4 linked regions of the Struthio camelus genome follow. The protein of the gene in region 3 interacts with the protein of the main gene of each other region in a biochemical or structural test. Links are inferred from orthologs where the notes say so. Each region holds a gene or a part of one and is shown on either strand. Other genes may lie near its edges. The genes, in order: MAPKAPK5, CS, HSPB1 and MAPKAPK2.

Region 1 (6,955 bases), on a different chromosome or scaffold from region 3:
AGAGAATTGAAATCCTCACAGGTGCAATGAAAATACAATTTTAGAAGTACATTATAAGCTGAGAAAAGGTTCTTCTGAAATGTGAAGTACATTCCCAGGACACGCTTTCGGGATTGCACTTACTGTCCAAGTTTGAAGAAAGTCCAACCACTGAACTGGAGAAGCTAATGCCAAAGCACTCTGGAACCACATCTTGATTAAATGACAATTTTTAAATTATTTTTTATGTAGCTTTGAAGTCTGTTGCTCTTGTTTCAAAAATGAAGGGCCTGCATACCCACCCTAAAACTTACCTAACCTTTTCAACTATACAGGTAAGTCTAAAAAGAGATACTGTCTATACATACAAGCCTGGGCTTGACTTCTGCTATGGCAGAGAGACCATTTTTTCCGTTTGGACTGAGCAAGTTGAACCCTAGTAACAGAGGAGCTGATTAGGAATTGGCAAGTTTGTGATCTATGAACCAAAAGGAGGGAGAGAAGATCTGATATTTCTCAGCACCTGAAGGGTAAGGTCAACAACTACAAATAGTAAGTCCATTTTTAATTAAAGTTAATTTATTTCCTCCTGCATATTCTGGGCTTTTAACAGTGGTTTAAATAAGAAAGCCAAAGTTCACTGTTTTCTGCATTTTTATAATTTATTTATTCAAAGGCAGCTTGACAACTTAGAAGCAAAAAAAAAAAAAAAAAAGAAAGAAAAAGTCATGAAGAAACATTATTCACCATCTCCTAATGATAGGAAATATATAACTTGTGAACTTTAATATATACTAATCTATGGAGTTGGCTAAACTCCTTCTAGCTCACAAATGCAAGTTCTGAGTCTAGCATCAAGACTGTATTTAGCTGCAAATCAACATGTGTTCCTAACATTCAAACAGCATGAAATTTTTAAAACGTACAAATATAAATTTGCCCTCTGAAAATATTAAAATCTATTTCAATTGATTAAGCCTAAATGCCTTGCCTTCCCATTTAGGGTAATGCACTATGGATGCAGGTAGCAGAAGGCCCCGTATTCTGTACTTAGCTCCACATCTGGAAAATAGCGTGCCTTACAGTAGCACTGCTGCACAGCACTGAACTTGTAAACTGGCTGACAGGTCAGCTGGAACTAATCTGCTGAGGCTGGGAATAGAGGAGGCAGAAGAGTGCTGGAGAGCACACTTCCAGGGGGAAAACAAACAAACAAAAAGCAAAAGAACAGGCAGTGGTGTAATTTTCTTACTGTAAACTTTTGTGCAGCTACTAGTGTAGGAATTTAAAGATCATTCCTTACACTAATTTCCACTGGGGAAAAGGAATAAATTGATTTGAAATGTATTCAACTGAAAAAAAAAACCACACACACAAATTCTACAAGTTCAACACTCTTCAATAGCACAATTCCCTTTCAAAAGCTCACGGTGCCTAAACCAATGGTTTGGGTATCCTCTCACGCAGGATCATTTGTCTGGGATGGCAATGGTTTGGAAAGCTAGGAATGCAGTTTCTCCTAAGTTGATCAACAACAGAGAAGCTGTTTTCAGACACACAGCTCAGCATGCCTCAGGCCTGCTCAGCGGAAAGTTCAGGTGCTTCTCGGTTTCCACTGAATCCCAGTGGAAAAAGGTATGACATAAAAGTACTTCAAGAACAATAACACATTCTTAAAGTTGATTAAAAGTATATAGACTGCCATTTGGACAAATGCCACATATTCAACAAGTGATATGCAAATAATCAACGTAACTGGTTCTCCTCTGCTAAACTGTTGGCCTTTCAACTTCTGCTAGTTCACATTAAACGGTGATCACAGTCTCGAATCACAGAACTTAAACCTGCAGATGCAGATGCAAACCAACCAAACTTGAAACAATAACTGAACATTAGCAGAACAGAGGAATCAACATGATGTTTAAACAGACTAAATTATATCTCCGATTCGGACAGTGCCTGTCACCCAAAACGTTCACCCAGAACCTGTTCTTAGCCAGCATCCTCCAGAGCGAGGGGAGCAAGGCAGATAGGAGGCTGTCCCTACCCCTGCAGGACAGTGGCTTTCCTTGTTTGTTGTAAATCAAGAGCTATGATATAAATCATTATCTTTTCATGAAATATCACTGAAGTACTTGACAGAACACTCACTCGGAAAGCCTTCTGGACAGCTGTTTCACCTGCACTGTGCTAAGACTGATAACAAAGTGGGAGGGCTCAGTACACCACTCTGGTACTTGACCCAGTAGTTTCCTCACAATTTGGAGTGCCGAAACGTTATGCCTAGACTCCCTTCCACTTTTGGCTTTTTCATTTCAAAAAAGCAAGGCCCGTACACTTCTAATCAATGTAGAGTTCAGCAATATAGGACTGAATTTCAACATCCCTTTTTCACCTCAGTGAGCTACATACGGGATAAATCCCACAGCCAAAGATAACACAGATGAAGGAAAAAAGTCAAACTCCAATACATTAGCTCTTTTTTAATCTACCTTTTTCTAGAATTCATTTGCCTTATTAATTTAAGTATTTATTAAGGCAACCAGAATCTGCGACCGGGAACATTTTGTGCAAGATAAACTTGCAGAGTCTTTAACACATTGTTTTACTGTCAAGACGGTCCCCCTGCTTTCCTCAGGGAACCCGCTCAGTCGGGTCACAGAAGGATTCACCAGGAAGCGTTAAGCTCATACAGCGATTCTTGCTGTTCAAAGGAACAAAATTTGGGGGGGGGGGGGGGGGAAAGGCAAAGCCTGGATCGGCGGAGCTGCTCTGCCACCCCTCCAAACGCAAACACCCACATTTGTTTTCATGACAGCGCCCGAACGGGAAGGCGGGGAGGCACCGAGGCGGCAGAGCTGCCCCCGCAGCCGGCAGAGCCCCCGGGACGCGCCGCCCCGCCGCGCGGCACCGGCCGCCCGCCCGCGCCCTACCTTGATCGTCTTGTCCATCTCGTGAGCCTCCGACATCCTCCCGCGGCGGCCCGGGCGGCGGGGGCCGGGCGCCGCCCCCGGCGAGGGCCGCGGGGGGCCGAGGGCCGGCGCGGCGGGGAGGGAGGCGGCGGCGGCGGCGGGGCCGGGCCGGGGGCACCGGGGCGCGCTAGGCAACGGGCAGCCCCGGAGGAGCCTTTGTGCCGCCGCCGCAGCGCCTCATCGCCAGCCGGCCGGGCCGGGGAGGAGGGGGGGGGGGAGCGGGGCCAGGAGCCCGCGCGGAGGCGGGGCAGCGCCGCTGCGAGGGCGCGGGCGGGCCCAGAGCCGCCGCTCAGCCCGGGAGCCGCCGCCGCCGAGGCGTCGCCGCCACCGCCGCCGCCCGGGAGCCAGGCATTGCCGGCACCCTGAGCGGGGCACACCCGCCGGGCGGCGCGCCCCACCGCCGCGCTGCCGCCGCCGCCGCGCACGGCGCGAGGAGCCGGCCCGGGCCTCCCGCCTCCCCCCCGCTCCGGCCGGAGAATTTTAGGAGGCTCCGCGGCGGCGGCCGCGTCGTTTACAGGCGTCCGCCGCCGCCCCTCAGGGCGCGACTCAGCCGGCAAAGCCCCCCAGCGGGGCCTTCCTGCCGCGGGCGCCTTCTGATGACGTTACACCGGGGGCGGGAGCAAAGCTCCCTTGGAGGGGCGGGGCCAGCGCCTGCCTCTTAGCCCCGCCCCACCGGGCCCCGCCCACCATCGGGAGAGCTCGCGAGAGCGGGGTGACGCGAAGCCTCGCGGGAGTTCGGGGTGCGCGCGGTCTCGCGCCGCCCTGAGGTGATAACGGTCGCTGGCCGCCTGAGGGGAGGCAGCGCGGCGTGCGCGGCGGCGCGGCAGCGGCGGCGGCGGCGGCTCTCTGCTGTGGCCGCCACCGCCTCGGCCAGGGCGGTCGGAGCCGCGGGCCCAGCTCTCCTCGGGGACGGGGGAGAGGAGAGCAAGCCTGAAGAAGCCTCTCTTACCGTATCACCCCAGCGCCCTTCGGCACCGAAGGAGGACACCTCCCCCTCATAGCATACCCGGCTTCCAGCCCTCCTGATTTGCACAATATAGCTCTTAAGCGTTGACATTTCAGGAGTTAAATCTAGTTCCCGCAAGATAAAAGCGACTCTCAGCGCAGCTCCAGCACACTTTCTGAAAGGCACTTGCCAAGACACGGAAAGCCAGTGAAAAACCTTAAAAGTTGCCCGAGTTTAGAGCATCGATGTGTGGAAGAAAATACGAACGTGTCCATATACTTGAGTTTCTGCTTCATTCACAGACAAAAAAACTGCAGCAAAATTTAAGACTAACTGTACTGAGAGAAGACTGTTTTATTATGAGTAGATACAGTGAGAGCAGATACAAGCAGCTGAGAACAGACTTTTACTTCACAAATTCATGCTGAGATGTTACCGTCCTACATTACACAATTGGTTCTCAGTCCATTTTGCTTACGGAAGAGGGATGTAGGTGTACAGGTTAAGGAGTAGCTGTTTGCTCATGCAGCTAGCTATGAAGGCTACTAAAAAGCCTCCTGCAGATTAGACAAGCATTTTTCTTTAAAAAAGCACATTCTTAGATCCAGGTGCAACAAGAGTAGGCTTGTGTAATGCATTAGTACTCAATTGCCTGTATTTGGTATTTTAACAGGTTAAAGCCAAGTAATTTTTTAAACAAAAGCTCCTTCAGGCACCTTCTACAGAATCATTTCTTTAGAAGTTACGTGTGGAGTGACATGTTCTCCACCTAAGTTTTGTGTATCTTAAGAAGAGGGTTCCTTGCTTTGTATCTCCTGAAGCTGCGTAGGTCAAATGCATGGAGAAACTACTGTCCTTTATGAGTTTTTCTGTGGAATTTTGATTGTCACCTGGAAAAGAAATGTCACAAGTTAGTTTCCTGTAACTGGAGACAGGGCTCAGTTTTGTTCACTGGCGAGCAGAGAGGAGCAGCATTACGCAGGGGAGAACAAGAACCAGACGCCAGTATAAACACTGTTCCCTACAGCCAGTGCATTCCCGGCACACGCTCCTTAGGGAGGAATTCTGTTCTCCACAAAATAAATTCACAAAGGAGTCAATACACTTACATTCTTTACAGTAAGAAACAGCTAAAGTGATCACTTGAAGACAGGGCCAAGCGGTGCAGGCAACTGGTAACTAAGACCCCTAAGTTTTATTCCAACTGTGGAATTAGGTCACATATCCTTATTTTCCTCAGCAGTACGAAACAAGACTAGCTTTCTGTTTGCATACAGTTACATGGAGTTTTGTTTGCAGTTATTTAGAAGTGCAGCTCCAAATTTGTTTCAAGCATTAGAAAGAAGAATTGCAGTCTCAAGCCAGCTTATACCAACAGGCTCATATACAATTTGGCAGTACAGCAGACAGTTGGGAAGTACTCAGATACCTGGATACTCACACTTTTCACCTCTATGTATGCATCAAGACCATATTCTCCCAGCTCTCGCCCATTCCCAGATGCTTTGTAGCCACCAAATGGGGCTTGTGCACCGAACACATTATAACAATTTATCCTGAAAAGGAAATAAACTGTTAAGCATCTATAGTTTCAGGACTGCTTAACGGAAAAGTCCTTTCTCAGCAAACAGACATCTCAGTTGTTTACAAGAGAGGTGCAACTGAATTTCCATCTGTTAGACTGCCAAGCCAACAGAGTTGATCAAGAATACCGGACCCTTAATCAGGACAAAACAGTTTCCCGATCGTCAATCAGGAAACAAAAGATCATGAAACCAATTAATATCTCTCATATCATAGGACCAAGCGTCCAGGTTGCCACCCACATCTCCTTTTAAGGACAGATATCAAGCATGTACTTCACTTAGTACCATTCAAGTTTACTTGCTACCAAACACTGAGATACTGATGTCCAAAACTGCACGTGCTGGAACAGTAAACTGGTGTTCGAAGTATTGCCTTTAGCATAGTCTCCGACACAAAGTACCAGCAATTGTAGCAGCCAAAATTGCACAGACACGCTCATGATCTAATCACTACTGGCACTCAAAGCCCAGTAGTAGTTGCCGTCTTGGCAAACTCTAGTACTGGAACTTTTTTCCCACGCCATTCATTAATTCCCAGGAGGCTCGTGGAAGCTCAATATACCTAAATTTTACCAAAAGTTGGCATTAAAATTCAAGGTCTGGCGTTATATTCAGTGAAGTACATGTAAAATTGGATCTGAAGAAAAGACAAGCTATCAAAGAGTAAGCTTGAATGAGAAATCACAACATAGAGGAAAGCTTCTGGCAGTTTAGAGAGAAGGAGGAAGTGTCGAGGCTCACCAAACTGTTCCCGCTCGCAGTGCCTGAGACACATAGTTTGCTTTGTCAAGATCTTTTGTAAAGACTGCTGCTGCTAGACCGTACTGGGAGTCATTTGCTCTCTCAATTACTTCCTCGATTGTTTTGAACTTCAGGATCTGCATGACTGGCCCAAATATCTAAAAAATCCAAACAGATCACATGAAAATCTGTGTAAATCGATCCCAGGGCAGGCTGTGGTTGATGCTGGAGTTATGTATGCATGTTAGAAGTTACATAGGAGGTCAAATTCAAAGTATCAGTGCGGTCACTTCCAGTATTACAAAGCAGCCAAGATGTAATCTGGAGTGTAGCTTGCTGTGGTAACCTTCTAAGAAGCACTGAGTTCCTATTTCCACTTGCAGCTCATGAATGTCTAGTACTTGTAGAGCTGTTTCTTTTTGCATCAGAAGGGGCAAAATGAAAAGAAGTGAGAAGCTGACAGAAAGATGCTGCAGGTCTCACCTCCTCTCTGGCAATCGTCATGTTGTCCTGCACGTCTCCAAAGACAGTTGGCTGGATGAAATAGCCTCTGTCTGCAGCAGGATTGCCACCACATAGCAGTTTGGCTCCTTCACGCTTCCCAGTATTAATGTAACCAAGTATCTTCTTAAACTGCTCCTCATCTACCTAGAAGCCATTCAGACAGACAGATCAGCTTCATCTTTCCTGGGGGTGAAAGAGAATTCTACTGCAACCTGCTCTGCATGCCA
Region 2 (6,954 bases), on a different chromosome or scaffold from region 3:
AGTTCAGGGTCAGTTAATTGTCCTTAGCGCTCCAAGCCAGTGACTTCTCCGTTGTCTGCAGCATGCCGGGCCTTGGTGGATGAGCTGGAGTGGGAAATCGCCCAGGTTGACCCCAAGAAAACCATCCAGATGGGCTCGTTCCGGATCAACCCTGACGGCAGCCAGTCAGTCGTGGAGGTGAGGCGTCTCCCAGTTGGGGTGTGCTTCTGGCTCGGGGGGTGGTTTCAGGCCGAGGCTGCGGGAGAAGAGGGAGTTGGCTGTTAGCAAGGCCTGACCAGAATAGCAGCTGCATGGTAAAGACTCGGGGAGATTAGGGAGGGGTTGGACTAGTGTTTCCCGCTTATCTTATCCTTGTGCCGCAGGTGCCCTATGCCCGGTCAGAGGCGCATCTGACAGAACTGCTGGAGCGGGTGTGCGAGAAGATGAAGGAATACGGGGAGAAAGTGGATCCATCCACACACCGGAAGACTTATGTCCGCGTGATCTCCCATGATGGGACCAAGATGGACCTCTCCGGGGTCAAAATCGATGGGGATGTGGCTTCTAGTCTGAAGTTTGCGGTATGTGCGGGGAGCGTGCCCTGTGCAGTGTCTGTTGGGGCTCCAGGGAGGCTTTAGGTAACCAGGCCCACTGGGTTTGGCAGCCGCAGTCCTTCTGGGATGAAGCAGCTGGTCTCACTGGCAGCTCCTGGCCACCTCCCCTGACCCTTTCCAGAGCTGGGAAGGGAGGGATTCTGCTCCCCTGTTGAGGTGGGGAGTGCTGGGTGCAGGGCCTGGCTCTGGGTTCCCCTGGATGCTGGTCAGCTTTGCCTGGCCCTGCGCGGTCGCTGGCATGGAGGCAGCCAGGCGACCGACACGGGGCTCCCGTTGCAGTGTGAGAGCATTGCCGAGGAGTACGAGGACGAACTCATCGAATTCCTGTCCCACGAGGCTGAGAACGTCAAGGACCGGCTCTGCAGCAAGCGGACAGGTGAGTCGGGCTGGGGCATCCTGGGGAGGGGGCTTGTCCGCTCTCTGTCCATCCGTCCGTCCGTCCCTTGTGAGGCAGCAGAGCCCTGAGGGTAGAAGACACTTCTGGCTGCTCAGGGTCATCTCTGGGGCACCCCCCTCCTTTGGCCGCATAGGGGAGTAAAAGGACTGCCCCTTCTCTGAGGTTCCCACCTCGGGCTTTCTGTTCCCATTCCTGCTGGCCAGGCCCCTTTTTTCCTTGTATTTAGGTGAAATTTTCTGGAAAGCAAGTCAGTGCCAGCGGGCAAGGGCTGGGATCCAGCCCTCGGACCCACAGCGCAGCCCCGTCGCCAGGCCAGGAGCCTGGTGTCTGCATGCGAGGCCCCAGCCGCCCGTGCTGCCTGCCCAGAGCCTGAGTCCCAAAGCCTCTTTGATCTGCCTGCAGCTTTTTTTGGATGCTCAGCGCCGGCCAGGCCCACGTGCTCTGGGAGGGAGCCAGGACGGCAGCTGCCCCACAGGCCCCTGCGCCCGCGGCTCCATTGGCTGCTCGGGCTCAGGGCTCCTTTCACAGCCAATTGCCAGGTGCTCCCCACAGGGCATTTCCCTTTCCTTCCCGCAGAGCTATTTCTAGCTGGCAAACAGAGGGCTTAGGGCACGCTGTGACCTTTGTGCTTTGCTATTAATGGACGTGGTCCGCGTTCGTTACCTGCACCGAGGCTGCAGGGCTGGGCAGGTCCCTCCCGTACCTCCGCACTGGCAGAGGGCAAAATCCTCCTGCCCAAGCAGGGCCCCGTTTTGGGGGCACCGTGTTCATGCGCCACTGGCAGCTGTTTCCAGCTCAGCCCCCCCGGGCCTGGTGCACGTGGCCAGTGTCCTGCCTACCTTGAAGCTGGAGCAGGTCTGTTGTGCTGCTCCTGCTGGCGGTTCCAGGTGAAAAGCCGGGCCGACAGCTCTGTCCAAACAGCTGCGTTTCTCATTAACCAGAGAACAAAGCAGGAGGGGGGCGCAGGCGTCCCCTCGCGCGGGTCGCGGCTGTGCCAGTTGCTCCCTGGCCCTGCCCGGGCCAGGCGCTCTGCACATGACTTCTCCCTTGCCCCTTGGCTGTCGGCAGGCGTTTGGCAGCGCTGTCACTGCGCAGCTGGGGAAAGGCTCCCCCGATGTGCCTCGGTCCTGGGGGTGGATGCACCTTGGCCCTCCTGGGGCCGTCGCGCCCCAGCACCCAGCCCATGAGCCGGGACTGGGATCTCTCCTCTCCTGAGAGCGCCTGGCCTTTGTCGCTGCAGACCTGTGCGACCACGCGCTCCACATCCCTCACGACGAGCTGTGACGCGGCTGCCCCTCGCTGCCTCGGACCAACCGGACCAACGCCTCCCTGACCGTCCCCCCGCTGCCAGCAGCGCCCGAGGGGCCCCCCGAGACCTGCCTGGAGACACGAGCTGTCCCCGGGGCGGACAGCGCGACGCGAGCTTCGTCCGTAGCTGACGTTCGTAGCCGTCGGGGAGGAAGGTCGTCCCCTACCTCTTTAGTTTACCTTTTCTGTGCCCACTTCTCTCCCCCCTCCCGAGGGAGGCGGACAGACGTGCCCCAAGGAAGACTGCGGCTCTGGAGCTGGGCGCAGACGTCTCTCCTAGTCTGGTGCTTTCTCGTCCTATTTATTTTACTGTCTGTCGACTGTAAGTGTGGCGCTGGGAGGGTCGGCAGGGAGCGCAGGGGGGACTCCCACCGCCCGCTCCAGCTCTCCAGCAGGGAGGACCCCTGGGCCCCGGGAGGCTGGAGCCCTGCCCCAAGGCCTTGTTCCTAACAGGAACGTTTCAGTGGCTGCTGGGGGCCAGGGCTCCGGGCTTCCCCGCTGCTCCTGCGGCTTCTCCGTGACCGTGGGCACACTGCTCCGTTCCCGTGTCTCCAGGCAGGCTCCGAGCAAGGGACCGTCCTCTGCTGCCCTGTGAGGGGCCGCAGCCAGGGCTGGTGCCGCACGGGTGAACGCGGCCGGGGCCACCGGAGCAGCCCGTCACCAGGGCTGGGTTTGTTCACCGCCTGTTTTTTAAGAGCCTCTTTCCAGGCTGCAGGGCAATAAAGAGTGGCCGCGTGGCGGCCGATCTTGCTCCCGTGTGTGTGGGTGTCCCGTGGCTGCTAGGGGCCGGGCGGTGCGGCAGCTCCCGCGGGAGGTGTCACGCAGCGGGACGTCCCCGGGCAGCAGCACCCGCAGCCCACTCGGAGAGGCTGATGAAAGCCCTGCTCCGCTCTGCCCGTCCCCGGCCGGGCTGCCGCGGGGGTCCCGGCCCCCGGCCCTGCCCCGCCGCCTCAGCCCACATGGCGCGTCCGCCCCACGTCACCTCGGCCCAGGGTTGCGGCGGCCGAGTGACAGCGCCCGCTGCCAGCGCCGCCGGGGCAATGTCCGGCCGCGGCCCCGGGGTCACGCGCGGCCGTGCCCGGCCTGGCCCTGCCCCACGTGCCGGGGCTGGGGACGGCGAGCGCGGGACCGCCGGCCCCTCGTCCGCCGATAACACCCGGAGCGGCGGGAGGTCACAGGGTGGCTGCGTCCCGCGGTGATGTCACGGGTGGGTGACGTCACTGGGCCCTGGTGACCTCACTGCACGCGGCACCATCGCGTGGATGCTGTCACAGGCGACATCACGGGGTGGCCTGGTGCAGCATCGGGGTGATAGCGAGCCCCAAACGGGCTCTGAGGGGTGACGTCGGGGCATGACGTCACCCGCAGCGGCCGGGTGGCGTCACGGGAGGGGGCGGGGCGGGACTGCCGGGCGCGCCCCGGCACCGCCCGCGGATCAGGCGAACGCGGTGGCCACCTATAGGCCGGCCCCCGCCGCCTCATTTGCCTATCCCCGCCCCGCCGCGCGCGGCGCGGCCAATCGCGAGGGGCCCGTCCCCGAGGGGGCGGGCGGGGGCGGTGCTATGCTAATAACCTACGCAGCGCCGCGCCGCGCCCCGCCCCGCCCGCCGCGCCGAGGACCCCCCGGCCGCCGCCGCCGCCGCTCGCACCCGCCGCCGGCCCCGGCCCCGCTCCCGGCCCCGCTCCCGGCCCGCCCCGCCCGCCATGACGCTCCTGGCCGCCGGCAGCCGGGCGGCCGCGCGCCTCCGCGGCCCCAAGGTGAGGGGCGCGGGCCGCGCCGCGCCTTAAAGGGGCGACGCCGCGGGGGGGGGCGGTGGCGCCCCGGGGGGCCCACTCTTAAAGGGGCGAGGCCTTAAAGGGGCCGCGCCGGGCGGGGGGGGGGGCGGCACGTGGCGCCGCCAGCGGCCGCGCTTTGTCCGCCCCGGCGGGGGGCGGCCCCCCCCCCGCTCCCGGTGTGCCAGCCCCCGGCGGGCTGCGGGCGATGCTTGTCGCCCCCTCCCCCGGTTATTCGGGGGGGGGTTGGGGGTGTGTGCCCTGCTGCAGGCCCCGCTGGGGGGGGGGCTCGGGGGCTCCCGGCCGTGCTTGCAGCCCCCGTTTTGGGAGGGGGCATCTGGGCTGCTTTCCCTGCCGTGTTTGCAACGCCCCCCTTCTTTATTGGGGGGGCTCCGGGGGGGCTCCCTGCCCTGTCGCATCCCTCACTGGGGGCTTCCCCCCAAAAGGGGGGGTTCCCCCCAAATATTTGCCCCCACCGTATGAAGAGGGCTCGGGGTGCTCCTTGCTGTCTTTGCAACCTGCCTTTTGGGGACTCCCTGCCCCCCCCCAATGCGGGGCACCATGCTGCACCCCCCCCCCGGTATTTAGGGGAGAGGTGGGTGCAGGGGGGTCCCGGCCCCATGGCGGGGGCTGCCGGCCCCATGGCGGGGGCTGCCGGCCCGCCGCGGCCTTCCCCGCCGCCCGCGCCGTAGAGGACATGGGGGTCACGCCGGGGGGGGCCCTCGCGGGGGGCTCCGGCCCCGGCCCCGGGTGGGGGGCAGCCCCCCGGCCGGCCCCCGCAGGAAACGCGCCGGAGCCGGCCGGGACCTTCAGCCCGTTCGCCTTGGCCTCGGCCCCGGCGGTTTCGTAACAGCGGCCGCAGCGTTTCCATCGACCGCCGCTTTATTTTGGGACTCTGTCGCTCCCCGGCCCTGGCCGTGTCGTGGTGTCCCACTTGGCCCCCGCGCCGGGCCGGGCCGGGCGGCCCCGCTCCTCCGCCGGCCGCCCGCGTCGCCAGCGCCAGCCCGGGCGGTCGAGGGTCGGACGGGCCGGGCGACCGCAGCCAGACCGGCCCCTTTCGCCGCCGGGTCCCGGCCCGTCCCGCCGTTCGCACGGGTGACCTTGACCGCGCGGCGCCTCCGCCGCTCCGCAGGCCGCGGGTCCGGCCCGGGGGGGCTCTGGCCCCGCGCCCCCCACTGCCGCCGCCGGCTCTGTTGTTTCCAGGCCCCTTTCCGTGTTTTTCCCTCTCGGCGCGACGCAGCCCGTCCCCGTGCTGAATAACGGGCGCGCTTCCCCCGAGCGGCTCGGCGCTCGCGCGGGGCGGGGGGCTCGGCCGCGGCCCCCCGCAGCGCTGCCCTCCCTCCCTCCCCGGACCCCAGGGGAGAAACGAGTCGCGTGGCTGCGCGGCTGCCAGCGTCTCCGGAGGCCCCGCTCGCGCCGCGGAGGCGCCCGGAGCCGGACGCCCGCTCCCGCTCCGCCGGGAGGCTCGGCCGCGCCGCGGGGCCCGGCGGCGTCCCGGGGGGCTCTGCAGGGCGCAGGGAGGACGAGGCGCGATGCCAGGCCCGGAGCTCGCCGGCCTCGTCGGGGGCTGGCCAGGCCGGAGTCCCCGCGTTTGACTTGGCGCTGAGCAGAGATCGTTTTATTTCTTTATTTATCTATTTATTTATTTATTTCCTCGCTGGAAAGCCGCCAAGCCGGGGCGGGGGGATTGCAGCGCCGGCGCGCAGGAAGGCCGCTGCGGTTTCGCTCCGGCGGCCGCGCGTTGTCGGCGGCGCAGGCCGCCCCGTGCCCTTGCAGCCTGCGCGTTTCCACCTCTGGTCCAGGCGCCGGGAAGCGAAACGCCGGATGGGTTTTGCTTCCCGCTGCCGAGTCGCGCAACGCGCTCTGCAGCGGTTCCTGCTCCGGACTCGGTCGTGCCGGGTTTGCCCCTGGTTTGGCGGAGCCGCAGCCCGCGCCGTGCACGAGCGAAACGCCGCGGCGCGGGAAGGGGAAGGGGCCGGGGAAGCGGCTGCGCGCCCGGCGGCTCCCCTCCCCCTGCGCGCTTGGCAGCCGGCAACGAGCCCAGCGAAACCTGTTTGGGTTTGATCTCCCCCGTGCGCCAGTGGGCGTAGAGAAGCCGCGGCTCCGGTTGCAGGGCGTAGCGTCCTTGCGAGACGGCGGCTGTCACGGGGCTCTGCCTGCGGCAGCCGCAGCTGCGGGGGCAGCCTGGGCCCCGCCGGGGGATGCTCCCGCAGGATGCGTCCGGGGGTTCGCGGGCTCTGTCGGGTGCTCGGATCCTGTTTACACTCTAAAAGCGTTACAGAAACGGGGCAAGTTGGCTGCTCGAGCAGGGCGCTCGGCCCCTTTTTCCCTGGTAACGCTTAAATCCCCGTGTCTGCTCCCCCACAGAACGCGCCATGCGTCCTCTTCGCGGCCCGTCACGCCAGTGCCGCCACGGTAAGAGCAGATCCCGCCTTTGCTGCGACCCCTTTGCCCCTGCGGGGCAGAGGCCGGGCGAGGGGGGCAGGCAGTGAGCCCGCGCCCCGGGACGGGCCAGACTCGCTCACGGCTCCGCTGCCTCCCCTCCGGCCCAGAACCTGAAGGACGTCCTGGCCAACATGATCCCCAAGGAGCAGGCGAAGATCAAGAGCTTCAGGCAGCAGCACGGCAGCACGGCCATCGGGCAGATCACGGTGGACATGGTGAGCGGCGGGGGCGGCCGGGCCGCGCTGCCTTCCCCGGGGGGGGCCGCGTCCCTCCGGCGTGCGGCTGCGGCGCCCGGCTGGGTCGGGGAGCCGGGCTGTCCCCAGCGCCGTTAACTGCCCCCGCCTGCTCTCCTGCAGGTCTACGGCGGCATGAGAGGCATGAAGGGGCTAATATACGAGACCTCGGTGCTGGACCCGGATGAGGTAAGGCCTGATCCTG
Region 3 (6,788 bases):
GAAGTACAGCCCTCACTGAAGGCTTCGACTCCCTTTCTGGATGATGCTGCCACTGGTTGCCCTTCGTTGGCATATGTGGGGTAGCTGCAATTCAGGGTGGTGAAGGACACAGGTGAGCAGGACACAGCAGTGCAGAGCAGGCAGGATCTGCCCCAGCCACTATGGCCACTTTTGGCTCCCGGTCCCGTTGCCTCCCCTCTCTCAGCCTAGGCCAGGCAGTTGCTGAAGCTCCTTGAGCAGCAGCAGGACACAGCTTGGATGTCAGCTTAGGTTCCAAAAAGAGAGGGAGGAGGGTCCCGTGAGTATGGGACTTTGCTGAGAAGCGGCAGAGCTGGGATGCTAGCTGGTAGCCCTGGTTTTGCAGAGCTTTCCTTCTGTTGATTTTCCAAAAAGCTCTTCTCAGCTGCCCAGGAGCTGAGGACGGCAGGAGGGCTTGCTCCTGCATGACAGCACCCTGGGGCTGTTTGCATTTAATCTGCATGGGCCACGCATTTTCTGCCTCACTGGAGAAAGACGATACAGATGAGCCTCCTTTGGTGGAGAGAGCAGCTGCCCGGATTAACCCATTGCCCCCAGATTGAAAGCTGGGCTTTGTCAATCTCTCTTGACATTAGTTTCCAGCCTGCCTGGCTGGCTCGAGGGGATTGGTAGGACCAGGTCATCCTTTTTGAATCCTGCTCAGCCTATAATGCAAAGGCTTTGTTAGTCCATGGCTACTGCATGATGAATTGAAGGTCTCAGGAGGCAGGAATATGAGTTAAGCCAGGATTGCATCTGGGGCCGGCCGCTGCTGTGCAGGGCGGGGGTGGTCACGGTTTGCCCAGCCAGCAGAGTCCCTTGTACTCCCCTTTCCAAAACTGCCACTGGAGAAACGGAGCCAAATTGAGAAACAGAGGAGTCAGGCTGGGAGGATAGAGAGGGGCCTGCATTTGGGGTTGGGTGATGGAGGTGCTCCAGGGCACCTGGGGCCAAGCAGGGTGGGATGAAAGGGGGAGGGTCTGGGCACAGCTGTTTGGTACGGAGACAAGAGCCTCAGGTTCATCTTCCAAGCCCAGCACAGGCTGCTTTGAGAAACTGGCTCCTTCTAGGCAGGCAGTGACTAATGTTTGTGCTGAGGCCAGGACAATTCACCAGACCTTGGAGAACTATCTCCAAGGCTTGGATCATCTCCTGAGCCAAGCTCCGTGGTTTCACAGCCTGTCTCTCCATGCAGCCAGTCCTGCTGCACTTGCTCAGCTAGCAGACCCTCTTCCCCCGCTGGAGGTGGCTGCTGTCTGCAGCAAAATTTGCTTCCTGGCAAATGTTCCTTTGTGCGAGGACGTGACAAAGCCTCACAGATACCTCCCAGAGGTGCTGAAGGTTGGGCAGGGACCAGGGAGAGACGGGGCCTCATTGCGATTCCAGGCTGGTGCGCCTGATCTGGAAAGGAGCTGAACCAATTGCCCAGAAAAGAAAAGCAATTAGAAATGGATTTAACAGGTAAGAAGGAGAAACGATTGTGTTTCTCAATTGCTTGGCTTGTTCCAGCATATTAACCTGAAAGCCCCGGGCAGGGCAGCACCCCGGCAGCGTGCTGGGGCACACGGTCCGGCCGGGCGCAGGTGGCAGGAGTGCCGTGGCATAACCCCTCGCTTCCCTGCGCAGGGCTCCCTGGCTGGGACGGGGCGTTCCCGGGGCGCTGGCGACCGTGGCGGCTGCGGACCAGCTTGCCCCAGCTGTCTGTGGGCCTGGCCTGCCCGATGTCCCGAGATGCCCCGTTGCAAAGCTGGAGAAGGGGGTGCAGTGGGCCTGGGCGATGCAGAGACAAGGGTGAGCCGCAAGGGCTCGTAGGGATGATGTTTCTGCAAGCCACAGCGTGGCAGCCCCGGGCAGCACAGCACGGTCGGGCCGTGCCTTGCCCTCCCCGGTCCCTGTGGGTTTCCTGCGCGGTGCCCTGCTGGCACCGTGGCTCGTCTCCTCCTTGCAGCCCCCCCAGCCCCGCCAGCATCTCCTGGACAGGTTGCGGGGGCGTTTTGCACCCGCTCGCCCGCTGCGCTGGAGCAGGGGCAGCCTCAGCTGTGGGCTCCTGCTGCCGCCTTGCACCGGTCTCAGACTGCCTGTGGGAGCCCCAAAATGCCTGATCGAGACAAAAAAAAAAAAATCAGAGTTTGAACCACTGGAGAGGGTTTATTTTGTGGCATTTTTACACCAGCCTGAGGAGGGCCGTTGCCAGCCCCCGACAAGGCGCCTAGGTTGGACACACACTGTGCCAGCAACCCCGTGCGCCCCAAAACGCTGCAATTTTGGCCTCTTCTCCCTCTTCACCCCCCTCCTGAGCAGAGGCAGCGGCCGGGGAGCGGGGTGGGGGGCTCTGCCGCCTGCACGCCCCCCCAACCCCAGCGCCTGTCCCCGGCGGTGGTGTCCCCGAGCCCCCCCGCCAGCCCGAGTCCTGCTCTGCGACAGCAACCCGGCTGCAGCGCCAGCACCGACAAAGACAGCACATCAGGGAAAATTTCCAGTCTTCCTCTTTTACAGTCCCTGTCTCCTGCCCGCGGAGGGAGCTAACTGGAACAAATACTCCGCAGGAATACTTCAGTGTTTTCCTCGCGCGCGCGCGCTCTCTCTTGGGTTTTTTTTTTTTTTTTTTTTCCGGATTGTGAGTACAGCTGTAGATTCGGTGAGCTGGTTCAGTTATAATAAAACATACAGTATATATTGTAAATGACTCTGCCGGGCCCGGAGCAGGTTGTTGTCAGCGAGGCCGCGGCGCGGGGGCTGGCACGGCGTTAACCCCGCTGTCTCGCCGCAGCCCTTCCCGGGCTCCGGCGCTCTGTCCTCTGCCTCCCTGCTCGGCCTCCGCGTCCCCCCCCACCCCGCCGCCCCGTCGCGCTCCCTCCTCGCCTCCCTCCCATCCGCGCGGCCCCTCCGGCGCCTACCGCCTCCCCCCGTCCCCACGGGGCTCCCTGCCAGCTCCCCGGCAGGATGCGGCCCTCCGCATCCAGCTCTACCCGATTCGGCTGCTTTTATCCATTCCCCCCCCCCACCAATTCTGCGTGGTTTCCATGGCAACACGCCGGCTCTCCCAGCAGCTCCCCTTCCCCAAACAAAAGGGTTTGCCAGCGGCTGCAGCATGTGGAGGTGGGTGCTGGCACCCCACTGCGGTGGTCATGGGGGGACCCCCCCCTCCTTCCCCTTCCCCAAAATCTGCACCCCTGCCAGGGCATCCCCCCCTCTCCGGTCATCACCACGGCCCCATCAGTGCCCTGCGTCCTGCTGGGAGGGGATCTCTGTGTTCGTGCATCCCTGCAGTGAGTGCATCAGGTCTCAGCTACACCCCTTCCCCTGGTGTCGGCCGGGGACAGGCCGCTGGGCGAGAGCCTCCTTCCCGCCGCCCTGGCCTCACCCCTCGTCGGGCCCCGGGACCTGGTTTTCTGGGGCTGCCATGAACTGATTCATAGGCAGAATATGGGTCAAAATATGGGACGAAGAGGCGAAATTTTAGCGCTGGGCCTCAAAAGCAAAGGGCTGAGGCTGCAGCGAGCTGGGAGGGGAGTTGGGGGTGGGGGGAGGAATGAAAAGGTGGCCTGAGGTTGAAGTCCAAGCTCAGCCCTGGGGAGGCACCTCCCCGGCGGGGGGCTGCCGGGGGGGGGGGGGCCTGGAAGGTCCCGCTGGATTTGGGAAGGGGATGGGGGGGGGGGGGTCTCGGCATCGCTCTCCAGGCGGCAGGCAGGCCTCCCTGGCTGGAGGGTGAACGTGAGGGCAAAGGGCTCCGGGAGGGAGCCGTCCTCCCCTTGTCCCGGAGCGGCCACCACCCCCCTCAGCCCCCATCGCTCTCCATCAGCCCCACTGGCCGCAAGTGCCCCCGTTGGGCCTTCCGAGCCCCCGGCAGCCCCCGTTAGTCTCCTTTGGCCCCCGTCAAGCCCCATCGGCCCTCATGGCGCCTCATCTACCTGCACTGACCCCTCACTGGGCCCCATCAGCCCCACCAACCCCTTCTGGCGCCCATCAGCCTCCACCGGCCCCGGTTAACCCCCATCAGCCCCACCAGCCCCTACTGGCCCCATGAGCTGTCACCAGCCCCTGTCACCCCCCCCGTCAACCGCCGGCAGCCCCCGGCAGCCCCTCCTGGGGCCGGGACTGTCCCCCCCCCGGCCGCCTCGGACAGAGCCGGCTGGCTTTAGGGGCGCCGTGCCGCGGCCGGGAGGGCAGCAGCACGGCTGCCGGCCGGGCCGCCGCCGGCCTCCGACGCTCCAGAAGCTTCTGGCAGCGGCAGCGCCGGGGGGGAGGGGGGGGCGGCTGCTGGCTGAGGCCCCGGCGCGCCGCGCTGCCTCCCGCCGCCCTGCCAGGTTTTTTTAACGGGAGAGGCCGGGAGCAGCGGCCTGCCGGGGCGCGGGGAGGCCGCGGGGTGCCGGGGCACTGGCGGCTGTGCGCGGCCGCTCCGGCCTGGGAAAGTTGGCAGCGCCGGCTTCCTCCTCCTCCTCCTCCTCCTCCCCCCCCGCCTCCTCGGCCCTCCTCCGGCCGCTTCTCGGCCCTTCCCGGCCCCTGCTGCAATTTCCATTAATAGCCAGCTGAGATGCCTGGCTAAAAATAACCGCCCGCCCTCTTCATAAGGCCCCCGGCGCCGCCCCGGCAGGAGCCGCAGCCCCGGCAGCCCTCCGCACCGTGCAACATGGCCGAGCGCCGCGTGCCCTTCACCTTCCTGCGCAGCCCCAGCTGGGACCCCTTCCGGGACTGGTACCACGGCAGCCGCCTCTTCGACCAGTCCTTCGGGATGCCCCACATCCCCGAGGACTGGTACAAGTGGCCGAGCGGCAGCGCCTGGCCGGGCTACTACCGGCTGCTGCCCAGCGAGAGCCCGCTGGTGCCCGCGGCGGGCTCGGCCTACGGCCGGGCGCTCACCCGGCAGCTCAGCAGCGGCATCTCCGAGATCCGCCACACCGCCGACAGCTGGAAGGTCACCCTGGACGTCAACCACTTCGCCCCCGAAGAGCTGGTGGTCAAGACCAAGGACAACATCGTGGAGATCACCGGTGAGTCCTCGCCGCGCGGCAGCGGCCGGTTTCGCTGGCCGAGCGAGCGGAGGGAAGCGGCGGGGCGACGGTGTGGGCAGCTGGGGGCTGGCGGCCGTGGCCGGCCCCGTGCGTTTACCCCCCACCCCGCAGCGCCGGCGGGGTCCGGGCTGCGGTCCCCCAGCCGGTGGGATTTGGGCGCCCCGCTCGAGGCCTTGGGGCCAGCTGGGGTGCAGAGCTGGGCTGCCACCCCTGCAGCCGGGTTTGGTCCCCGCTGCCAGGAGCAGCTCGCGGCCCTGGGATTCGGGGACGTCCCCGTGGAGGCCCAGTCCCCCGTGCTGGGGATGCAGGAAGGGGAGGGCAGCCCAGGAAACCCCCCGCTGCCATTGCACAGCGCCGCTCCGGCCTGCTGTCAAGGCAGAGAAACCCACTGCCTGTCGCCTTGTGCCCGTCCCTGGCTCGGTGGGGAGCAAAGGTGAATCCCCCGTGCCGTCCCCCCCGCAGCACCCGTCCCACTCCTGCCTGGCCAGGGGGGGCCACCTGGCCCCCCGCCTCCCCGAGGCACCGCACCAGGGTGCTGCCCTGGGCATGGTGGACCCTTGAATGCAGAGGCCTTTCCCGCCGCGGTGCCCCGCCAGCAGGCTTCACCCTGTCCTGGCTTTTCTTTTTCTTCCAGGGAAACACGAGGAGAAGCAGGATGAACACGGCTTCATCTCCCGCTGCTTCACCCGAAAATACACGTAAGTGCCAGAGTGAGACAGGACCCTGGCAGCCCCTGACCCCTTTGGGCACCTCTCCCATCCACCAGGTCCTGCCCCATCCCCTCTGGTGCCTCCTCTGGGCGAGCTGGGGTTGTTGCTAGCCCAAACGGGGAGGACCGTAGCCAAAAAAAATTGGGGCTGTGAAAAGCCCCGGGGCCGGGGCCTCACGGTGCTGACCCCCGCTCTCCTGCCCGCAGCCTCCCGCCCGGCGTCGACGCCACGGCCGTGCGCTCCTCCCTCTCCCCGGACGGCATGCTCACTGTGGAAGCGCCCCTGCCCAAGCCGGCCATCCAGTCCGCTGAAATCACCATCCCCGTCACCGTCGAGAGCCAAGGCAAGAAAGCAGAGGAGCCAGCCAAGAAGTAGCCGGAACCGAGGAGAAGGAGGGAGAGAAGCCGCTGCCTGCGCCGCTGCCCTGCACAAAATAGCTCCTCACGCCACCCCCCGCTTTCATCCCCCTTTTTACTCTGTATTTTGTACTCACCCCATCACTGCGTGTCTCAAATAAAGGAGAAGAAAAAAGTAGAATCAATCGGAATAAACAGCCATGAAATAAAGCCGCCTGGTGCCCTGCGTCCCGTGGGCAGCAGGCCTGGTGGGCTGGGACCCGTGCCGCGGGGGCACCGGGCTGGGACCCGTGCCGTGGGCGCCTGGGCTCCCCTCCGGCACGGCTGACTGAGCTGGTGGTGCTGGCCATGACGGGGCACGTGTGGGTGTTGCCGGGGTCCAGCACAGCTTTTGGATGGGGCACAGACCCTGCCTGCACTCACGCCTTCCCCATCCTCTGATATCCCGGGTCTCCAATATCCCAGGTCTCCAATATCCCACATAGCCAATATCCCATGTCTCCATTATCCTGGGTCTCCAAGATCCTTGGTCTCAACATCCCAGGAAGTCTCTGACATCCTGGGCCCCTGATATCCCAGGTCTCAGTATCCAACATCTCCATTATCTTAGGTCTCCAAGATCCTTGGTCTCAACATCCCAGGTCCCCAATATCCCAGGTCTCTGACATCCTGGGCCCCTGATATCCCAGGTC
Region 4 (7,258 bases), on a different chromosome or scaffold from region 3:
AAACGTACAGGAATGGCAGTAAGCTTTATAAATAGTCTTCGATGATTTTTTTTTTCTATTAAACTCAGACCAGCCTGTGATGCATCATGCACACTGCTAATTATGTCTAAGTAGCTGCAGCTGATAAGACGGTCCTTGTGAAATCCGTTCCCAGCTTCTGGTCTTCGTCCCTCGCTCGTTCCTGCGTAGCGGCAAAGTCACGAGGAGCCGGGGCCACTTTCCGAAAGTTGCTCTGAGCGCTGCTGCGAAGGGCCCTTGTGCTTCGACCTTTGTGCGGAAGCAGTTCAGGCTTTTTTTTGTCAGCCCGTTTGCCGCGTTTCCCTGTCGGTGCCTACGGGCATCCGTGATGCAGGAAAGGGCAGCGCAGATGCTGCCGCCTCGCTCCTGGAGCTGCCCGGAGCGGAGCGCCCAGCCGGCCGCCCCTGACGGCCCTCGGCGGCCCCAGTGGTTTTCCACCGCGCCAAAAAGCAGTACAATCCCGGCAGCCCCCGGCCCCTGCCGGGAACGGGCCCGTCCGGCTCTCGAGCGTGGGTTGGTGCCGCTCACGGGGACGGTCCGCGCTGGCCTTGCTGCTCCGAGGCCACAGAACATGCCTTGAACGTCCCCCAGGTTGGGGCGTCTCTCCTTACCCCGCGGCGTGGCTGGCCTCGTGCCGAGGCCTCTCGTCGCTCCCTCGGTGGCGTTCGGGGAGCCCTTGCCCCCTCTGCAGCAGGCCAGCCTGCATCTGCACCTGGGCAGTCCGCGTTGCAAACGAGGCCTGATTGCTGGTTATTGGCAACCAGTGCCATTAACGGCAGCGGCGGCCGTGCAGGGGCGAGGGCTGTGTGCAGAGCTCCTTGCTCTGCGGCTTGCCCGTGGTGGGACCCTCAGCACGGTGTTTTCCTCCGGTTGTGGATCGTGGGTAAGCTGAGCTGTTTGATTTTGGCTATACAACGCCCCGGGTCTATGCACTAGCCTGCAGGCAGCGGTCCCCGCCGTGGGGGCGGTTTGTTCGGCTTGTAGCCTTGAACATGCAATTAAAAGCTGGCTGGGAGCTGAGCTGCCCTGTGCAAGGGATGCTGAGAGCCACCGGCCGCGTCGGGGTGGCCCGGGAGCGCCGGCACGGGGGCGGCCTGGCCCGGACCGTGTGGGTCCTGCGGGATTAGGGCCGGCCCGGGGAGCTGCTTGTGCTAACGGAGCTGATCTCCATAATCTTGTTGCACAGACGCCTCCTCCCCCTTGGCAGGACAGCGGGGATTTGGGGCCACGCGTATGCGGCAAACAGAGCAGCAGATAGGGGGGGTTTGCAGGATTAACGTGTTGTCCGCTGGCGACCCAAACGTGTGGGAGCAGTTTTTATCCCAAACTCCTGAGGGTCTCGGTCTGCTCTGAAATCCGGCTTCCTTGCTGTACTGGCACGGCTGTGAATTTGCTTAGGGGGAAAAGAAAAAAGGAAAAAAAAGAAATCTGTGCTTGGAAAAGCGAGGGGAAGGCTAGAGGAGGCACGATGCCCGCTGCGGGCCTGTCCCCGCGCTCAGGTGCGCGCCAGGCAGCACCTGGCATTTGCCTGCAAGCTTCGTTTTCCTGTGTGCGATCCGTGTTTCCACTTGCCAGCTGGAATACGTCCTCGTCTAAGCAAATGATGTTTAAAGACCTGTATTTCTGAGTGGTGCTGTTTTGTGACCCTGAGTAAGGAAGTACGTTTAGCATTATCTTGTGGGCAGTGAATCAGGATTCAGTTTCCTATTAGAGATGGAAAAATCCCGATGTTACAGAGAAAAGCAACGTAGCAGGTCAGCGCTGGTGGCCTCTGCTCATTTTTAATGGGCTGCACGCTCCCTGGAGACGGCGGGAGCGGGGCCCGAGCTGGCCGTGTGCAGCGTATAAGCAAGGACTGAGAATCCGCCCCGTGGATATTGGAGCAGGAACGTAGTCTTGCGTAAGAAAGGACTTTGCGCTGGCCTGTTATTAAACGAGAGAGCCCTCAGGAGGGCCCGGGACCGCGTGGTGCTCTGTCCTTCCCCGCTCTGCGCGTTCCCCTGCGAGCCAGGGGCGAGGGGGAAAACCCCTGTAGCCGTCACTCGAGCGGATAATCCCGAGCGTTGCCTCCTGGCAAGTCTCGCGATTAGGAGCTCCGTGTGCTGGGTGGAGCGGGTCCAGCGTGCCGGGCTCGGGGAGCCGTCCCGCCGGGCATGCGAGCAATGCCGGGGCCGGCCAGAGCGCTAATCCGCCGGGGCAGCCGAGCCCGGGAGCCGCCCGCCCGCTTCCCCCCGCGGGGACCCCTTGCTCCTTCCCGCCGCCTTTCACCCTACGGGACCGTGCCGCGCGCTGTAAACGCATAGGCACAAACCGTGCCCGAGGGCCGCGGGATGCATCCCAAGCCCTGGGATGCGGCCGTTCGGAGACGGGAGCGACGCGCTTCAGGGAGGGATGCCGGCTGGGGGGCTGCGCGGAGCCCGGCCCCGCGCGCGGGCCGCCCGCGCCGTCGGAGGGGCTCTGGGCCGCCCGCGCCGGCACAGGCAAGGCTGGCAGCGCTTCGCTTCCGCTGCTGCCTCCTGAGCTTGTTGCGGCGCTCCCGTTGCTTTAACAGCAGCGTTAGTAGCTGTAATGGGGATTAACAATATCTTTCCAACTCAATTACCCCTATCCTAAAAGCATGCAGGATTATTTAAACGCATTATCATTTTTTTAAGTGGGATAGCTTTCCACCAGTGCCGTGCTCGTACCAATCTACCCGGGGAGAAGAACAGGATGCATGCAGCCTTAATGATCATTACCCTAATCTTCCAGGTCTATTTTTCTGGGTAACTCCGCTATAATCAAATAACCATCTAGTTTGTTACTCGCCAGGGAAAGAGCTTGAGCAGATCAGCCGCTGTGTCACGTAGATACAAAGGCTGAGCCTGCACTGGCTGCTTCCTGTTCCCTGACGGAGATGGGAAAGGAAGCGGGGAAAAGCTCCCCCTCGGCAGCCGCCTAATTGTCCTGCGGGCCCAGGAGCGGCGTGGCGGGCGCCGCGTGCCCCGAGCCGCTCTCGTGAACCCGTCACGGGCACAAACGCCGCGGAGAGGGGCCGGGAGGAGGCTGGGGGGGGAAGGAAAAGTTGGGCCTGAGACCACCGCCTGCGAAGGCGCTGCTCTGGGCGGACGGGCTGCCCGTCTGGGGGCTCCCAGAAGTCGCTACCTGCCGATCTAGCCCAGCGCGCCACAGGGTTTTGCATGTTTGCACTGTCATCTTCCAGCAGGCTGTTTGCAGCGGGGGGGGGGGGGGGTGTTTAATCACAGAGACGCTGATGCTACAGGTGGCAGAGATCAGTTACACCCCCGGCCCACACCCCAGCGGCAAGGGCAGGTTATCCACCCCTGCACAGGAGCAATCTCAAACCCCGGACAGAGGCTCTGGAGAGAGAGAGATATATATGTATGTATCTATCTATAATATATATTTAAAATGTGTAAATGTGCAAATAATATATATTTAAAATGTGCAAAATATAGATATATGCATATCTATATTTTTAGTAGCAAAGGCTGAAGTACCGGGATCTCCTGGTGGGGCGTGCAGAAGGGGTTGCTCCCACGGTGGACCCAGGCCGCCCGCTCGGGAGCGGGTGAACGCCGGAGGGTCTCCGCGTCCCGCCGCTCCCAGAAATCCCCGGGGAGGCGGACGGCTCGGGGCTGCCGGGGCTGTGCCTTGGGGCTTAGGTATAGCCGACGGACGGATTGTAATGGGTTGCTGGAGGACCTGAAAACAGCCCCCCCCCCCCCCCCCCCCCGAACGCGAGGAGCGTCCTGTTCCCAGACGGTGCGGGGACACGGCGGGCCGCGGGGGCCACCTGGTGGCCGCGCACCCAGCTCGGGCCGGGGGCTCGGCAGCCGCGGCGCTGCCGCCCCCGGTCCCCGCCGGCGCTTGCCTGCACCTGGCAGACGCGCTCTCTGCCTTGCGGTCATGCCTGCACGGAAGCAAAATATCCTCCTCCTTCTTTTTTTTTAAGCTTTTTTTTTTTTTCGTTCTTTCCCCAAAAGCCCAGTGCCTGCGTGTATCTCCATCAGCACCAGTCTCATGGCGCAGAGGGAGGCCGAAAAGGGGCCTCCCGGTCCCTCTCCTTGCTAAACCTACGTCTCTGGGCTACGCCAGCTCCTGGCCCGGGGCACGCATCCTGGTGCCTCCCCTGGCAGGAAAGGGGCTAAAAGCCGTGCCGGGCATGCAGGCGGGTTAAAACCCCCGGAGGGGGGAATTGAGAGGGATGGACAGTGCGACACTAAGCAAGCCATTTCATTTCTTTCTACCCACCGCAACCCAATCTGTAAAACAGAGAAAAACTGTCCTTCCTGCCCATCTACCTTATGCGTAGCGTAGTTGGTGTCCAAGCTTTTGGAGGGCAAGGGTTGTCCTTTCCTACTTCCATTAATGGCACGCAGCACATTGGTGCCCTGACCTCAGCTGAGCAATCGAGGAGGTTTCCATGGGAAACCTGGGAAATGGGGCTTCCAGACCGTATATATCCTTTAAAGTGTTGTTTATCTTTGAAATAGTTGAAGGACTGGATTACAAAGTAAACATGAGTGAAAGCAGAGGAAACAGAGTAGCAACGTGGGTCAACGGTTTTCCTTTGCCCACAAATTCTTCTGTGAAGAAAAACTTGGCCTTAAAGGTTAATTTCCACAGACATGCTGAAACGGGCCGAGTAAAGAGAAGGAAACGGTGGGAAAACCCTGCAAAGCGTGCCGGCAGCTTTAAAACATCTTTGCTCTCTATGAGCCGTTGCTAGAAAGCAGCGGGCTCTAACTCCTGCCCCAAGCCGCCTTGTGAGCAGGGCTCGGGTCCTGGGAGACGCTGCCACGTCCCGGAGCTGATCCGGTTTCCCAGGAGGAAAATCACTTTCCACAACGGCCCCCGAGGCGCTGGGGACTTCAGAGGGAACCTCGGGTCCCGAAGCAGGGAGTGCCCCTTGTTCGGGGCGAGTTGTTTGTGGCGCTGCCGGGCGATGGAGGTCGGCTCACTCCTCCTTCCATCTGGCGACTGTCGCTGCCACCTCCTGACGGCCGCTCGGCCTCTCCCTGAGACGACGTGCTCTCGTTAGCAGAGTCTGCTGTTCCATCCAACTATTGATCAGTGGTTCTGTTAAGACGCTGGCTTTCGGAAAGCATGAGCTGACCTTTTTATACTTACTTGACTAAGTAAAATCCTAAATAAATCCTAAATAAAAGGATTTTATTGATTGCAGGAGGTGGTTGGGAGACACGGACCAGATGTGTCCTGCTCCGGTACGAGTGCCTCTCCCTGTGGTGGACGTGCCCGTAGAGGTCACGGTTTGCTCTGCTGTCCTGCCCCTTTTGGGTGCTAGATGTTTTCTTTCTCCCAGTGGCAGTCGCTTCTGGAGGACTCGGTGTGGCTCTGGCATGCTGTAGGCCTGGTATGATGTGTTCTCTCTCATGAATGCTTAAGCCGGTTTCTTCTGCTATTGCTTTCTGTTAGTCAAAAATAGAAAACAAAACGTTGAGGATAGAGGGAAGTCCTGTTTCCATGGCTTGTTTTTCCCTGGGGACCCCTGTGAACTTGCAGACGTCGGTATGGATGAATGGGGTTGGTGGCTTTTACCACATTGATGCGTGTCCACCAGGACCCTCCATCAGTGCGTTTCAGAGGGGCCTCCAGAGCTCTTTGCCTTTGGCACCTTTGACGGCAGTGAGATCTGTGCAGGTGAATGGTTCGAATCTGCGGTCCCAGCAGACCTGCTGATCACCGCTTGATCCGTGCCAGGCAGCGCTGCGGGTCCTGCTTCCCCTCCCTGAGCCAGCACATCCGTCGCTTGCTGGTGGCCATGCAGTGCAGGGGTGCGTGTGCGGATGTGCACAAAACAGCCTGCCAAAATATCACTGCCTGGGCCGCAGGAAATTATTCCAGACTCTGCTGTTTGCTTCTAGTGTTGCTCTGGGCATGTTTCTGTCTTCCTCCAGGTCGCATTCATTGCTTTTTGTGGGAGAGCCAGGTAATATGGGAATGAATGTCATAAAAGTGCGTTCATTAGTTAGAAAACGAGGATTATTAGTGACGAGCAGGCTGTCCGCTTTGTGTTAAAAACCTTGACTTGCCGTTTTGCTGCAGCTGAAGGAGAGTCCCCTGGGTTTTGCTGGCTGCCCGGCAGTTCAGCCACGAACCAGCCAGGATCTGTTAGCCCAGCTTAGCTTCTGCCTCGCCTTCTGGGTTGAACACGGCAATGGGGCTTAACTTCTCATCAGAATGCTTCTTTTGTTGCTGTTGCCTTTTTTTTTCCCCCCTCTTTCTCTCTCTTCCGGGACGGTTTCCCATCCCTCGCCTTTGCCCTGGCGCCCGGTGGGCACGGCAGCCTGCGCCCGCCCCGTCGCGTCCCTCCCCCGGCGGCCGGGCCGGCCGCGGCGAGGCGCTGACATCAGAGCCGAGCCGCGCCGCGCCGCGCCGGCGGCGGCAGCAGCAGGAGGCGGAGGAGGAGGAGGCGGAGGAGGAGCCCGAGCCCGCCGCACCGGAGCGATTCCTCTTCCCGTCGCGGCTCTCGGGGCCGGGGCGCACCGGCGGGGGGCGGCGGCGGCTTCTCCTCCTCCTCCTCCTCCGTCGTCCGCTCCTCCCGGGGCTTCCGCGGGGCTCGGCCGGGCTCGGAGGCGCCGCCGCTGCCGGGCCGCGGCCCGCCGCCGCCCGCCATGCTGCCCGGGGCGCCGCCGCCGCCCGCCGCCTTCCCCAGCCCGCCGCCGCCGCAGCCGCCGCCGCCGCCGCCCGCCGCCCCCCCCCACGGGCCGCCGCCGCCGCCGTTCCCGCCGTTCCCGGGCAAGGCCGGCCTCCAGATCCGGAAGAATGCCATCACGGACGACTACAAGGTCACCACGCAAGTGCTGGGGCTCGGCATCAACGGGAAAGTTTTGGAGATCTTCAGCAAGAAGAGCGGCGAGAAGTTCGCCCTTAAGGTGCGCGCCGGGAGCGGGGCCGGGAGCGGGGCCGGGGCGCAGCGCAGCCGCCGGGCAGCGGGGGGAGCCGCCGCCGCCGCCGCCCCGGGAGCCCCCGGCGGCACCGTCCGCCCCGCTGCTTCTCCCCAAATCTCCGCGGCGTAGTAGTGTTTCTACTTCTTTTTCTTTCTTTTTTTTTTTTTCTCCTCTTTCTTTTAATATTTTTTTTGGGGGGGGGGGAGAGGGGGGGTTGTCCCGAGCGGCTGCGGAAAGGGGAAGGAGAAACTCGGCAGCAACAGTTCCTGCCTGACAGCGATGGAACATGTCCGCTGGCGGCTCGCGTGCGCCCGGGCTTCTCCTCC

Evidence for each region.
Region 1: of the proteins of HSPB1 (region 3) and MAPKAPK5, one has a biochemical effect on the other in vitro, tested with the Homo sapiens proteins (4 studies listed by BioGRID and IntAct). The link is inferred for Struthio camelus from reciprocal best matches to the Homo sapiens genes HSPB1 and MAPKAPK5.
Region 2: the proteins of HSPB1 (region 3) and CS form a complex in vitro, tested with the Homo sapiens proteins (2 studies listed by BioGRID). The link is inferred for Struthio camelus from reciprocal best matches to the Homo sapiens genes HSPB1 and CS.
Region 4: of the proteins of HSPB1 (region 3) and MAPKAPK2, one has a biochemical effect on the other in vitro, tested with the Homo sapiens proteins (17 studies listed by BioGRID and IntAct, with this or other methods). The link is inferred for Struthio camelus from reciprocal best matches to the Homo sapiens genes HSPB1 and MAPKAPK2.

What each region holds. Positions count from the first base shown.
Region 1 is NC_090958.1:18,348,327-18,355,281, reverse strand, and holds the start of MAPKAPK5 (MAP kinase-activated protein kinase 5), read right to left. Parts: upstream 3,005-6,955; 5' UTR 2,949-3,004; coding exon 2,913-2,948; intron 1-2,912. Other genes in the region: ALDH2 (aldehyde dehydrogenase, mitochondrial), read right to left, coding at 4,755-4,787, 5,339-5,453, 6,225-6,382, 6,708-6,872. UniProt on the Homo sapiens protein: Tumor suppressor serine/threonine-protein kinase involved in mTORC1 signaling and post-transcriptional regulation. Phosphorylates FOXO3, ERK3/MAPK6, ERK4/MAPK4, HSP27/HSPB1, p53/TP53 and RHEB.
Region 2 is NC_090969.1:473,453-480,406, forward strand, and holds the start of CS (citrate synthase, mitochondrial), read left to right. Parts: upstream 1-3,938; 5' UTR 3,939-4,002; coding exon 4,003-4,056; intron 4,057-6,438; coding exon 6,439-6,486; intron 6,487-6,623; coding exon 6,624-6,731; intron 6,732-6,872; coding exon 6,873-6,938; intron 6,939-6,954. Other genes in the region: CNPY2 (protein canopy homolog 2), read left to right, coding at 62-177, 363-560, 873-969, 2,231-2,274. UniProt on the Homo sapiens protein: Key enzyme of the Krebs tricarboxylic acid cycle which catalyzes the synthesis of citrate from acetyl coenzyme A and oxaloacetate.
Region 3 is NC_090957.1:14,555,472-14,562,259, reverse strand, and holds HSPB1 (heat shock protein beta-1), read left to right. Parts: upstream 1-4,258; 5' UTR 4,259-4,648; coding exon 4,649-5,009; intron 5,010-5,664; coding exon 5,665-5,728; intron 5,729-5,946; coding exon 5,947-6,115; 3' UTR 6,116-6,281; downstream 6,282-6,788. UniProt on the Homo sapiens protein: Small heat shock protein which functions as a molecular chaperone probably maintaining denatured proteins in a folding-competent state. Plays a role in stress resistance and actin organization.
Region 4 is NC_090965.1:7,856,398-7,863,655, forward strand, and holds the start of MAPKAPK2 (MAP kinase-activated protein kinase 2), read left to right. Parts: upstream 1-4,243; 5' UTR 4,244-6,222; coding exon 6,223-6,499; intron 6,500-6,641; exon of another isoform or gene 6,642-6,656; coding exon of another isoform or gene 6,657-6,732; coding exon 6,733-6,917; intron 6,918-7,258. UniProt on the Homo sapiens protein: Stress-activated serine/threonine-protein kinase involved in cytokine production, endocytosis, reorganization of the cytoskeleton, cell migration, cell cycle control, chromatin remodeling, DNA damage response and transcriptional regulation.